3 linked regions of the Ovis aries genome follow. The protein of the gene in region 1 purifies or fractionates together with the protein of each later gene. This does not show direct contact. Links are inferred from orthologs where the notes say so. Each region holds a gene or a part of one and is shown in the gene's direction. Other genes may lie near its edges.

What was found.
Region 2: the proteins of AP1M2 (region 1) and AP1G1 purify together in Homo sapiens (affinity purification with mass spectrometry; 4 studies listed by BioGRID and IntAct, counting the BioPlex papers as one, with this or other methods). This does not show direct contact. The link is inferred for Ovis aries from reciprocal best matches to the Homo sapiens genes AP1M2 and AP1G1.
Region 3: the proteins of AP1M2 (region 1) and AP1B1 purify together in Homo sapiens (affinity purification with mass spectrometry; 3 studies listed by BioGRID and IntAct, counting the BioPlex papers as one, with this or other methods). This does not show direct contact. The link is inferred for Ovis aries from reciprocal best matches to the Homo sapiens genes AP1M2 and AP1B1.

What each region holds. Positions count from the first base shown.
Region 1 is NC_056058.1:12,931,498-12,935,143, reverse strand, and holds part of AP1M2 (AP-1 complex subunit mu-2), read left to right. Parts: intron 1-745; coding exon 746-876; intron 877-986; coding exon 987-1,134; intron 1,135-1,239; coding exon 1,240-1,366; intron 1,367-2,052; coding exon of another isoform or gene 2,053-2,058; coding exon 2,059-2,201; intron 2,202-2,281; coding exon 2,282-2,353; intron 2,354-3,646. UniProt on the Homo sapiens protein: Subunit of clathrin-associated adaptor protein complex 1 that plays a role in protein sorting in the trans-Golgi network (TGN) and endosomes.
Region 2 is NC_056067.1:38,790,492-38,794,645, forward strand, and holds the start of AP1G1 (AP-1 complex subunit gamma-1), read left to right. Parts: upstream 1-1,221; 5' UTR 1,222-1,656; exon of another isoform or gene 1,657-4,154. UniProt on the Homo sapiens protein: Subunit of clathrin-associated adaptor protein complex 1 that plays a role in protein sorting in the late-Golgi/trans-Golgi network (TGN) and/or endosomes.
Region 3 is NC_056070.1:68,659,813-68,664,009, reverse strand, and holds the start of AP1B1 (AP-1 complex subunit beta-1), read left to right. Parts: upstream 1-1,319; 5' UTR 1,320-1,466; exon of another isoform or gene 1,467-1,529; intron 1,530-3,484; 5' UTR 3,485-3,534; intron 3,535-4,197. UniProt on the Homo sapiens protein: Subunit of clathrin-associated adaptor protein complex 1 that plays a role in protein sorting in the late-Golgi/trans-Golgi network (TGN) and/or endosomes.

The sequences.
Region 1 (3,646 bases):
ACAGATTCTCTGCTAAGGAGATACTTGCTAATTCCCAGGGGCTCCCGTCTGGGGGGGGTCCCCCAAGTCCCAAGGGCCCCTGGATGGAATTCAAGGAATCCAAGAACTTAGATGTATTTCTGTGTAGTGTAACAGTTTTCCTTTGCCATCTTGTGGGGTTATTTTGGTTTGTTTTTGTTTTGACCATGCTGCATGGCTTGGCTTGTGGGATCTTAGTTCCCCAACCAGGGATTGAACCTGGGCCTTCAGCAGTGGAAGCGTGGAGTCCTACCCACTGGAGTGCCAGAGAATTCCCATATTGTGTCTTTTGTTTTTTGTCTGTGTGTATATCTTTTATTTCATGCATTTACAAACCTTATTCTGAGGTGGGTCCATTAACATCACCAGATACACGGCAATCCCATGATTCACACACACACACAAAATTCTGAGCCCTTCTAATCCCTCTTCCAGGAAGTCTTCTTGGACCTCCCTGCCTCTGGGTTCCTACTTCACTTGTTTTCCTCATTATTGCACTCTACACGTTGGATAATATTAGTTCCACTACCTACCTGTCCATTCCCCCTCAAGACTGTTCCAGGAGGGCAGAGACCTTGTTGGCTTTGTTCACCGTTAATATCCTGACACTGGTACACAGTAGGTACTCAATAGTTGCCTATTGGGTGGCTGGCTGGATGAGTGGGAACCCAGCCCAAGAGTTGCACCAGCCGCATCTCTGTGGGTGTTGGTCTCCTCGCACCCCTAGGTATTCTCTGAATACTTCAAGGAGCTGGAGGAGGAGAGTATCCGAGACAACTTTGTCATCGTCTACGAACTGCTGGATGAGCTCATGGACTTTGGCTTCCCACAGACCACAGACAGCAAGATCCTGCAGGAGTGAGTGGGCCGGGGGTCAGCCACAGTGTGGGCCATGGGTGGAAGAAACCTGGGGAGGGTCAGGGAAGTATCCTTGGGTTTATGTGCTCATCTCCCGGCCCCCCCGCCAGGTACATCACGCAGCAGGGCAACAAGCTGGAGACGGGCAAGTCACGAGTGCCACCCACTGTCACCAATGCTGTGTCCTGGCGCTCGGAGGGCATTAAGTACAAGAAGAATGAGGTCTTCATCGATGTCATAGAGTCCGTTAACCTGCTGGTGAGCCTCCACACCTCTGCCCCACCCTCGCTACAGCCAAGGGCCAGGAGAGGGAGCCCTATGCTTGTTAACCGCCTCCCACATCACCAACGTTTGCATCCTCAGGTCAATGCCAACGGCAGTGTCCTGCTGAGCGAGATTGTGGGCACTATCAAGCTCAAGGTGTTTCTGTCGGGAATGCCAGAGCTGCGGCTGGGCCTCAACGACCGTGTACTCTTCGAGCTCACTGGCCGTAAGTTTCTGGAAGGGGGCGCGCGGGGGAGCCTGAGACCTCGCCTCATCTGGGGTGGGTGGTATCCGGAGACCTGCAGTCAATTCTGAAATAGTACTCGCCTGCCCTCTACTGGTCTTGACCAGTACTGCAGCTGCTCGTGCCTTAATGCAAACAACTCTGCTTCATTGTTGAGTGCCAGGCACAAGGACATGGCAGAAAAGAAAAAATAATCTCTGCCCTCACGGAGCTGACGTTCTAGTGGGAGTAGGAGACAGAATAGCATTACATTTCTTCCCTGGTGGCTCAGACAATAAAGACTCTGCCTGCAATGCAGGAGACCTGGGTTCGATCCCTGGGTTGGGAAGATCCCCTGGAGAAGGGAATGGCTACCCACGCTAGTATTCTTGCCTGGAGAATTCCATGGAGAGAGGAGCCTAGTGGGCTACAGTCCATGGATCACAAAGATTCAGACACAACTGAGCGACTAACACCCACAGGATAACATCCTGACAGCAAGGGCCTGATTCCCTGGGGATCCCAGCTCTGTTCCTGGCCAGCTGGGTGACCCTGGGTGAGTTACTCATCCTCTCTAGGCCTCAGTTTCTTCATCTGTAATATGGGGGTGATCGTAGCAGTAGACAGGGAAGGTAAGGATAAGGACCCTGCCCTGGGCTCCAGTGTCACCCCGCTAACTCGGCTCTGAGTTTCAGGGAGCAAGAACAAGTCTGTGGAACTGGAGGATGTGAAATTTCACCAGTGCGTGCGGCTCTCTCGCTTTGACAATGACCGAACCATCTCCTTCATCCCGCCTGATGGTGACTTTGAGCTCATGTCCTACCGCCTTAGCACGCAGGTGAGGCAGGGTCAAGCCCCTGGCTGGGGGCAAGGGTTGACCCCAGAGCCTTGGAGAACTCCCTCTTCCTCTGTCTGCAGGTCAAGCCACTGATCTGGATTGAATCTGTCATTGAGAAATTCTCACACAGCCGCGTGGAGATCATGGTCAAGGTGGGCCCCCGGGGTAACAATTACAGTGCTCAGATCACCCCTCCTACCCTTTCAGCAGTCTAACCACATCTCCCACCTCCCTCCCCAATCATCACGTCCTTCCAGCCACGCAGGTCTCCTGGCTGGTTCTCAAACATGCCAGGCATGGTCCCTGACTATCCCCTCTCCCTGGAGCACTCTGCCCCCAGCCACCCAGATATCCCCCTGGCTCTTCCCTCGCCTCCTTCAGTTCTTTGCTTCAGTGTCACCTCCTAAGAGGAGCCTTCCCTGATTTCTCCACCTCCCTTCTTTGCTCTGTTTTCTTCTCTTATTACTGAACCACCATCGTGTGACACATGATCTGTTTTACTTAATTTACTTAAAAAATATACATTCATACTACTTTATAAATTTACATTTACATCAAAATTTACTTTTTATGAATTTACATTTATATTCATATATGTATATAAACCATAGAGTGTGTTAGATATCAATGTTATCATTGTCATACCATATCATCATATCATACCATGCAGCTTAATTGAATGTGCCTGGTTCAACCAGCACCTCTAAACCCCCACCTGCCCCTTGCCCGACCATGGCTCCCCCAACCCTTGCCCACAGGTGGTCACAATTTGGAATTCCATGTAAATCGTTTCTTTGCTATTGTTTGTAATTTTGCCACCGTCATCTGTAAGCACAAATACTTCATTCTGCCAGTCTCTGACCTTTATATCCGTGAACTCTTGCTGTATGACTTTTTTGTATAATTTGCCTTCTTTGTGTAATGTCGACTTTTAAGAGGAATCCCAGGACCTGCAGCGCAGGGCATCCGTTTCGGTGCCTGTAGACTATTCCACCAGGAGAATCTTCTGTCCTGTGTTTTGCATGTATGGTTTTCATTTCTTGGCTTCTCTGGTTCACATTGCCATGGATAGCCCTGTGCATGTCCCCAGTCCCCCAAACAAGAGCTTCTCCAGAACATATAATTAGTCCCTCCCCACCCTTAAAAGTTTTTTTTTCCCAATCTCTTTTTTAATTAAAAAAGTTGGGGGGATGGTGGAGGACACGCCATACTGCATGTGTGATTTTAATTCCCTGACCAGGGATTTAACTTGGGCCCTGTGCATCGGGAGTGCAGAGTATTAGCCACTGGACCACCAGGGAAGTCCTTAGCCCCCTTTACAGATGGGGAAAGAGGCCCAGAAGAACTAAGATGTCATTCATCTAGGAAGGGAGGGGTCACGTTGAACTTGGGGCTGCCTGGCTCAAGAGTCTGTGTTCTCAGATTTAACTTTGCTCCCCAGTCTT
Region 2 (4,154 bases), on another chromosome or scaffold:
AAGTGAAAGAGGAGAGTGAAAAGGTTGGCTTAATGCTCAACATTCAGAAAATGAAGATCGTGGCATCCGGTCCCATCACTTCATGGGAAATAGATGGGGAAACAGCGGAAACAGTGTCAGACTTTATTTTTGGGGGCTCCAAAATCACTGCAGATGTTGATTGCAGCCATGAAATTAAAAGACACTTACTCCTTGGAAGGAAAGTTATGACCAACCTAGACAACATATTAAAAAGCAGAGACATGACTTTGCCAACAAATGTCCATCTAGTCAAGGCTATGGTTTTTCCGGTGGTCATGTATGGATGTGAGAGTTGGACTGTGAAGAAAGCTGAGCACCAAAGAAGTGATGCTTTTGAACTGTGGTGTTGGAGAAGACTCTTGAAGTCCCTTGGACTGCAAGGAGATCCAACCAGTCCATTCTAAGGGAGATCAGCCCTGGGTGTTCTTTGGAAGGAATGATGTTAAAGCTGAAACTCTGGTACTTTGACCACCTCATGCGAAAAGTTGACTCATTGGAAAAGACTGATGCTGGGAGGGATTGGGAGCAGGAAGAGAAGGGGACGACAGAGGATGAGATGGCTGGATGGCATCACTGACTCCACGGACGTGAGTCTGAGTGAACTCCAGGAATTGGTGATGGACAGGGAGGCCTGGGGTGCTGCAATTCATGGGGTCACGGAGTCGGACACAACTGAGCGACTGAACTGAACACAAATTTTCTCTTTTTACAATGAGGAAACTGAGACCCAGAGAATCTAAATGTCTTGTTCAATGCCAAAGGTTGACAGGTGATAGTGTGCTTGAAATCCATTCTTCTGTGACATCCTCTATTTTTATAAAATGTGTTGCAAAGATGACATAAAACTTCAGAATCCAAGACTACTTGGAGCATGATCCTAAAGTTAACCTACACAGAAAGCTAAGGTCTGAAAAGTGATAGGTAAGAATTTGGGGTTCTGGTGGATCAGGACCAGCTCGGCCAGGCTCAGTATTCTCCGCCTCTACCTGCTTCTCCTCCCCATTTCCTCCGCTACCTTGCTAGCCCCACCCTTTTCAGGTGGCCCCGCCACTTCCTGGCAGCCCAGCTCCCACCCCACCGCAGGCGGAACCAATGTTCGTGGGCTCTGGGGTCCACCGGATCTTTCTCGCTCAGACTCTCCGCAGCGGTGACTCGGCAGCGGCGTCTCGCGTCATCAGTGACAGCCCCGATTCTTGCTACGCTTTGCGTCGCTCTTCCAGGAGCAGTCACCTCCTCCTTGGCAAATAGTCCTCGGTGGGGTCCGAATTCTTGGATAATAGGAGAGGGGAAGCAAGAGAAGTTGCAGTCTGGGAACGCGGGACCGACAAGCAGAGAGAGATAGGGCCCTAAGTTTCTGTGATAGTGTGCAAAGTTAGTTAAAAACTCCTTCCCACCTAAGATCCCTCCGCCTGCAGTAGCGGTGGTGAGGCCGAGGGAGCCGCCATTTTGGATGTTCGGTTCCTGCTGCCACTGCTGCCACCGCCCCCGGAGCTGCTGGTTTCATTCGAGGTTTCGGGCCGGTGAGTGTCAGTCGCGGCGCGAAGAGAATACTTCTTGTTTTACTCTTTGCCTGCCGGGAGCTCTCGGCCGGAAGTTTCCTGTCTATCCCAGGGGTCCGGTCCCAGATCGTGGAGGGTGAGAAGAGAGGACAGAGACTGGGCCAGGAGGGGCCGGGAGCACAAGGGTTGTTCATACTTCTTGAGGGCCAGCCCCGAGGCCTCAGACCCGGAGGCTCCGCACGCGGCTGCGTCTGTGTTATGGCGTTGCCCGGCCGGTACGGGCCTCCTTGCACCCATTGACTTTCTCAGGCTGCACTCCTCCTTTGAGGACTCATTGAGAGAGCCTGGGGTTAGCGGGGCGGGTCCCACCTCCGCGTGTCTTCTGTTTGCCACGTATCAGTGTTCTTGTATCTTGCATCCTAGTCAGGTCTTTCGTGAAACTCTCTTCTGTATTTCCAAATGCTCGGTTAGTTAATCGTTGTCTGCATCCGCATTGCCGTTCTCTTTGAACTGGACGTCGGCCTCGCCTCTCTCTAACCTTCCAACCAACTTCTTTCCCAATTTTCTGGGGTTCCCCCCGTCTTTTTCTTAAACTCACCTGTGAATGCATTGGTTACCCTTCTCTCAAAGTCCTAATCCTGCAGGCATCAGTTATTAATAATTCTCCCGATTTTCTTGGCGGCTTGACAGAGTCGGGACCGTTGGTTGTGTTTCTCAGTTAGGGTTTGGTGTAGGAGATTCGTCGAACCACTCGCTCAAGAGTGTGCTTCAACAGTACGTGTTTATAAAGCTGAGTAAAGGGTTTTTGGGGGGAAGGTGGTAGGAAGAGGCTGTCAAATATTTTCTCATTTGTATTTTCTCATCCCTTCTTGGGCTGAACACGTAGCTTCTGGGTACTTTTGGACACTTAACATATTTTTCTTAATGCTGTGTATCCCTGCCCAGGGCAGTCTGCCTCTGAAAAAGGATCTTAGTCTGACATTGGTAGAAGGGAAAGTAACCTTTTTTAGATACTGTAGGGATTAGTTAACAGAAGAGAGGAGTGAAGATTTCTTAGTGATTTTAACTTTCAAGTGGTTTGTACAGTAGTGTTCTTCGCTGATTAACTCCGGAAAAATACTTGGATTGACTTCTTGTATGTTATTTTTCTGGGGATAGTTGAATTTTAGATATTCACTTTTACTGTTCCCCATAATGCTTATCATACTGTATATGCTTTAACCTTTGCTTTAAAAATATAGACTCTCCAGACCCATAATTTCACCACTTTCATTCTATTCTTGAGGTATGTTTGCAGTATAGTATACTTGAATAAAAAGCATTTCACTGTAATTCACTGATTATTTCCTATAATTCAAGTTAGATGAGTGTGACTGAGTCACCTCTGTTTCACCTCAGCCTGGGTTTTCACATCTGCAAAAGAGAGATGTAAATTATTTGAGATGGTACCCTAGTGACTGCTGAAACTTAAATTTATAACTTGAACTTGACCAAATCTTTCAATACTTGAAATCCTAATTCCTGTATAAGTGCATTATTCTTATCAGGTTATTATCAGGTAGATAAATTCCTGTACTAGTCAAGAATGTTTCATTGTAAATAGTGTTCTTGGTATTTGTTTTCAGGAGACTTTCCAAAAATGTTTTATTTACTGTTTGTATATTTACTTTAAAGCCATGGAGTCTCATTTTGGTTTAAAGGGCTGTCTAACAAGATAAATGGAATCCTCACTCATATATGTGGGCTTCCCTGGTGCTCAGATGGTCAAGAATCTGCCCGCCATTCGGGAGACCTGGGTTCGATCCCTGGGTTGGGAAGATTCCTTGGAGGAGGAAATGGCAACCCACTCCAGTATTCTTGCCTTGGAGAATCCCCATGGGCAGAGGAGCCTGGTGGGTTGCAAAGAGTTGGACACGACTGAGTGACTAAACACAGCAGCACTCATATACTGAGTATACCCTTGTAGTTGCTACTGAAATGTTCATTTCTGAGTTACACTATCAAATACTCCCAATATTAAATATTGGGAGAGCTATCAGATGGGTGTTAACTTAGTTCATTTCAGGGTATTAAGTACTGCTATTTAAACGTCATTCATTCTTGGGTAGTTTGCATGCAGTTGGAGAAAGCATCCTTTTGCCTTGCAAATGATAAGTGTTTATTTTAGTGCACTTTCGAGTGATCATACTTGAATGTCTACTTGGTCTAAGGGATTGTTGGGGTTCCATACTTGAAATAAACATTGTTTAGGAAACCTTAATTTCTTTTGGAGCAGTTGCTTGTTCTTTGATTTGTTTCACTGACAGCAGTTCTAGATTTGAAGATGAATTTTAGAGTGAAAATATAAAGTACGAAAATTGTCAGCAATGTTTTGGTGATATTTCATCATACTATTTATTTTTAAAAGTGGTCTTGAGTCGAGATTAGTCGTGTGCAAAAACAAAAACTTATGTTTTTATGTGATTAGTAATAATACTATGCAGATTGAAAAAGTTGAAGGAATATTTTCCAAAAGATTATTTTTAATTAAAAAAATGGAATTGGGAAAACACATACCAAAACAGATTATCAAAATGCTTAATCTCCTTATTCGCATTTGATGAGGATTTAAAAATTTTGTGTATACAGCATGAT
Region 3 (4,197 bases), on another chromosome or scaffold:
ATAATATATTATATATAATGTTATATACTTTATATATTATATTATAATATATGATTATTATATATAAAATACATACAGACATATATATGCATCAGTTCAGTGTTTATATATAACACATATTATATATTTATATATTATATATTATATTTCTAATATATTATTTATATATTATATATAATATAGTATAATTTATAATACATAATATATATTGTACATAATGTAGAATAAATAAATGTATTATGTATTATAATTATATATAATATATAAGTAAATATATTTATATATACATAAATATATAAAATGTATAATATAATATTATACATTTTATAATATTAAAAGACTAGTGATAAAGTGCACAACTGTAGGGGACTGTTTCGGAGAACAGTGGTGCCGTTCATACTGCGCAATTCCATGCAGATATTGTAAAACACCAAGTAGAAATGTATTTATTGTTTTGGGAAACAATAATTCACCAATTCACCAATATCTTGGTGAATTAAAAATACTGAATGGATATATCGAGTCTGGAAGGATATTCACCAAAATCTTAAAAATTATTGTCTCAGGGTGGCAGGATTGCAGGATTTTTTACATAGCCTTTTGCTTACTCGTATATTTCCATAATGCAAATATTATTTTAGATGTTTTTAAGAAGATGATCAGAAATTATCTAGGAGGAGGAGAAAGTTAATAATACCAGAGCTGGGAGTGAGATACCTATAGCAACCCTGGCCTGGCCGACCCAGCAAAACGGGAAATGGAACTTTTAAGTTCTCCTTGGAGGTGTGAGGTTTACGCGGAATTCCCCGAAGGGCTGCTTCAAGCGGTAGGTTAGACTTACAGCTCTAGTTTAACTCTTCTCTTCACAGGTAAGTGATCTTGAGCAACACTGGCGCCTCTCAGAGACTGAGTTTTCCTGTTTGTAACACAGAAGCGAAGCTGACCTCAAAACAAAGAAAAATAGACCTCAAAGTCTCTATGATCTTCTCCATCTCCGTCATGTTATATAGGCTCAGTTCAGCTCAGTTCAGTCGCTCAGTCGTGTTCGACTCTTTGCGACCCCATGGACTGCAGCACGCCAGGCCTCCCTGTCCATCACCAACTCCCGGAGTTTACTCAAACTCATGTCCATTGAGTCGGTGATGCTATCCAACCATCTTGTGGTATTTTTTGCTTGGCGGAGCAGCAACGTGTCGAGGGCGGAGTTAACTCCGACGCCCCGCCCCCTGGCCCCGCCTCGCTGCCACCGCCCCCGCCCGGGTTGTACCCTTGACCCCGCCCCCAGCCTGTGCGTCCACCGGAAGTGCCCGCGCGCGGGCAGCTCACTTCCGCCTGGCAGGTGACAGCCGCGGGGCTCCGAGCGTCCGGCGGCGCGGGCGCACCGGGAGAGCGGGAGGACAAGGCCGCGGACATTTTCCTGTCGCGTCGAGCCGCGCCGTGGCGTCAGGAGCCTTTCGGACCTGCGGGTGAGGAAGCGGGGAGCCTGGCGAGGCCAGAGAAGAAGTGGGGCGGGGAGTCGGGAGTCTGAGGTGAGGGATTTCTGGGGTCAAAGGTCACGGAGAGTACAGGGCGCTGGAGGGTCTAGAGTGGCTTCCCAGGACGGGAGGAGGCAGAAGGGCTGCGGGTTCATTCATTCGCGCCCCCTTGGCCGCCGGCGTGCACCCCAGCCGTCCCAGGTCCGCAGTCCCTGCCGGGGCGCCCTCCCGTAGAGACTCCTAGACTTAGGCCCAGGGGAGCTTGTGCCTGGCCTGACAGGAAACTTCTCTTCGGGTCTTGGTTCCCCCTGCACACTCAGCGCCGTGGCTGTCCTGAGGCCTCCTTGTCGTTAAGGGCCTTATCTCTTTGCCAAGGTTCAAAAACAGAAAAAAAAATATGAAACGGCCTGGCGCCACCGCCTCTAGGGTGGGGTTAAACAGAGGATTGGTCTGTCCCTAGGCGCCTCACAGACGAGGTAACTGGGGACCCCTGTAATAACGCCAGAACTACTGATGGGAATGCTAGCTGCTGGTTATTGAGCTGTGTGCAGGCACCGTGCTTAGAATGCCGCATTTAAACTTCCCAGCAATCTTGGTGAGGTAGCTACTATTATTATCCCCATTTTATCCACGAAGAAACTGAGGCACAGAAAAGTTAAATCACACCTGTAAGGTCAATCGAGTAGTATGGATGAATGCCAGGGTTCCTACCTGGGCTCGCAGGGACCTGCAGCGTGCTGAGACTGAAGCAAGGTTGGCATTTAGGGGCTGTTTAATATCTTTAGCCGCCATTAAATTTATTTGCATCTATATAAAGATATATTTCCCTGGAGAAGGAAATGGCAACCCACTCCAGTATTCTTGCCTGGAGAATCCCATGGACAGCGGAGCCTGGTGGGCTGCAGTCCATGGGGTCGCAGAGTTGGACATGACTGAGCGACTGAACAATAGCATTTAGAGATGTAGCTTGCTTTCTTCTCATCTACCTTCCTAAGGAGCATTTGATTCCCTTTCTTTAGGATGAAATTAGGCCATTGCTATAACTGATTTCTGTTCAGGGTGAGAAGGGGCCTTTTTCCCAACTGTTGAGAACTGCGAGACATAAAACAGTCTAGCCATGCAATGAATTTAAGAATATGCTGCACCTCTCTTGAGAGTGGTCAAGCTGCATTCTTTTTCAAGTAAGGGGAGGAACCACATGACCCCTAGGGTATCTTTTGGCCCTAGGTTCTTGAAGAGCATTCCCAAGGCAAGGACCTGAGTCTCTGAGAAAAGTGCAGGTCCCATGCCTTCTTGACTGGAGAACACACATCTTGCCTGGGAGACAGTGAGGTGGTTTCATGGCCAGAGGATTAGGTCTTGTGAGTCTGAGCTTTACTCGGTTGCAGACATTCACGTGCTGCAGTTCGGCTTCAGTTTCCCTGATAGCAGCACAGACCTGCTGACTTCCTACACACTCCGGGGTTTTACAAGCCTTAGTGAACCTGTGAGGATTTCCACGCACTTATAAAGAAAGCTGAGGTATAAATATTACTGTGCAGTACCTGTTTTTAAACTCCACTGTCTGTTTTCCTAGTTCCATTGAATTCACAGAAACTTAATATTGTCACCTGATCCCCATCCTTCCAAGGGAGGATTTGAGATAAAGTGACTCGTCACAGATGGTAGGAACAGGAGCAGCGCTCAGAGTGTCTGGCTCCCTGTCCTGAGTTGAGCCCACCAGGCTCCTTCAACCCCTCAGGGCAGCTTCATGAAGAGTGGCTTCACTAGTGTTCAAAGACTCAGGTCCCTCAGACTTTGTATAAAGTTTAACTGTTGAGTGTAGTTTGAGTAGAGGCTTCACCTGAGTGACTTGGAGAGCTCAGTGGTGTGGTGGAAAGAGCCTTCCTTGTCCCCCCATCTGTCAGCCGTGGATTCTCCCCCCAGATCAGCAGCTTCTTGGTAGCGTGACCCAGAGCCACCTATCCCTCAGCTCTACAATAATACCACCACCTTCACCTCCCCCTCAGCAGTGACTCGTGTGGAAGCTGGACAAGGACTTTGTGCAGAGTCTGTTGTGGTGAGTGCCTTGACCCTAGGCAGTTGATGTTTCCTGGGGGCTGGTTTTGGGGGTGTTACTTCTCTCTGCAGAGTCCTTTGTGTACACAGGACCTCTCCCATCCTTCTTGTTTCACTTCCTTAAAGTGTTTCAGAACAAGTTCAATCTGTTGATCCTGCTAGCTCTGGGCTTGGACTTTCATCTTTCTCTAGTTATCCTTGAAGCTGTTGCATGACTTGCTTGCTTACTTCCCGAAAACCCCCATTCTTGGCACCAAAGTGTGATGTGCTAATGGTGAGCCAGCATGGCTTGGTTATGAGTTTTGAGCTCCAATGTGTTTCCAGAAATCAAAGGGGCTTCTGTTACTTGCAGGTATTTCTTTTTCTGAATAGGTCTTTTTGCCTAAGATAGATCACTGATAAATTTTCACAGCCCAGGAATGATTTTTGTGTTCTTTTTCTCTCCACACAGAGAGGAATGAACAGCTCCAGAGAGAAAATATTAATTAGACAAGTGGGGAATCTTTTAAAAATAATTCTACTTGAAGGGACTTCCCTGGTTGCCTAGTGGTCACGAATTTGCCTTGCAATGCAGGGGACTTGGGTTCGATCCCTGGTCAGGGAACTAAGATCCCACATGCCGCAGAGCAACCAGGCCCACACTCCACAACTAGAGAGTCCGTGG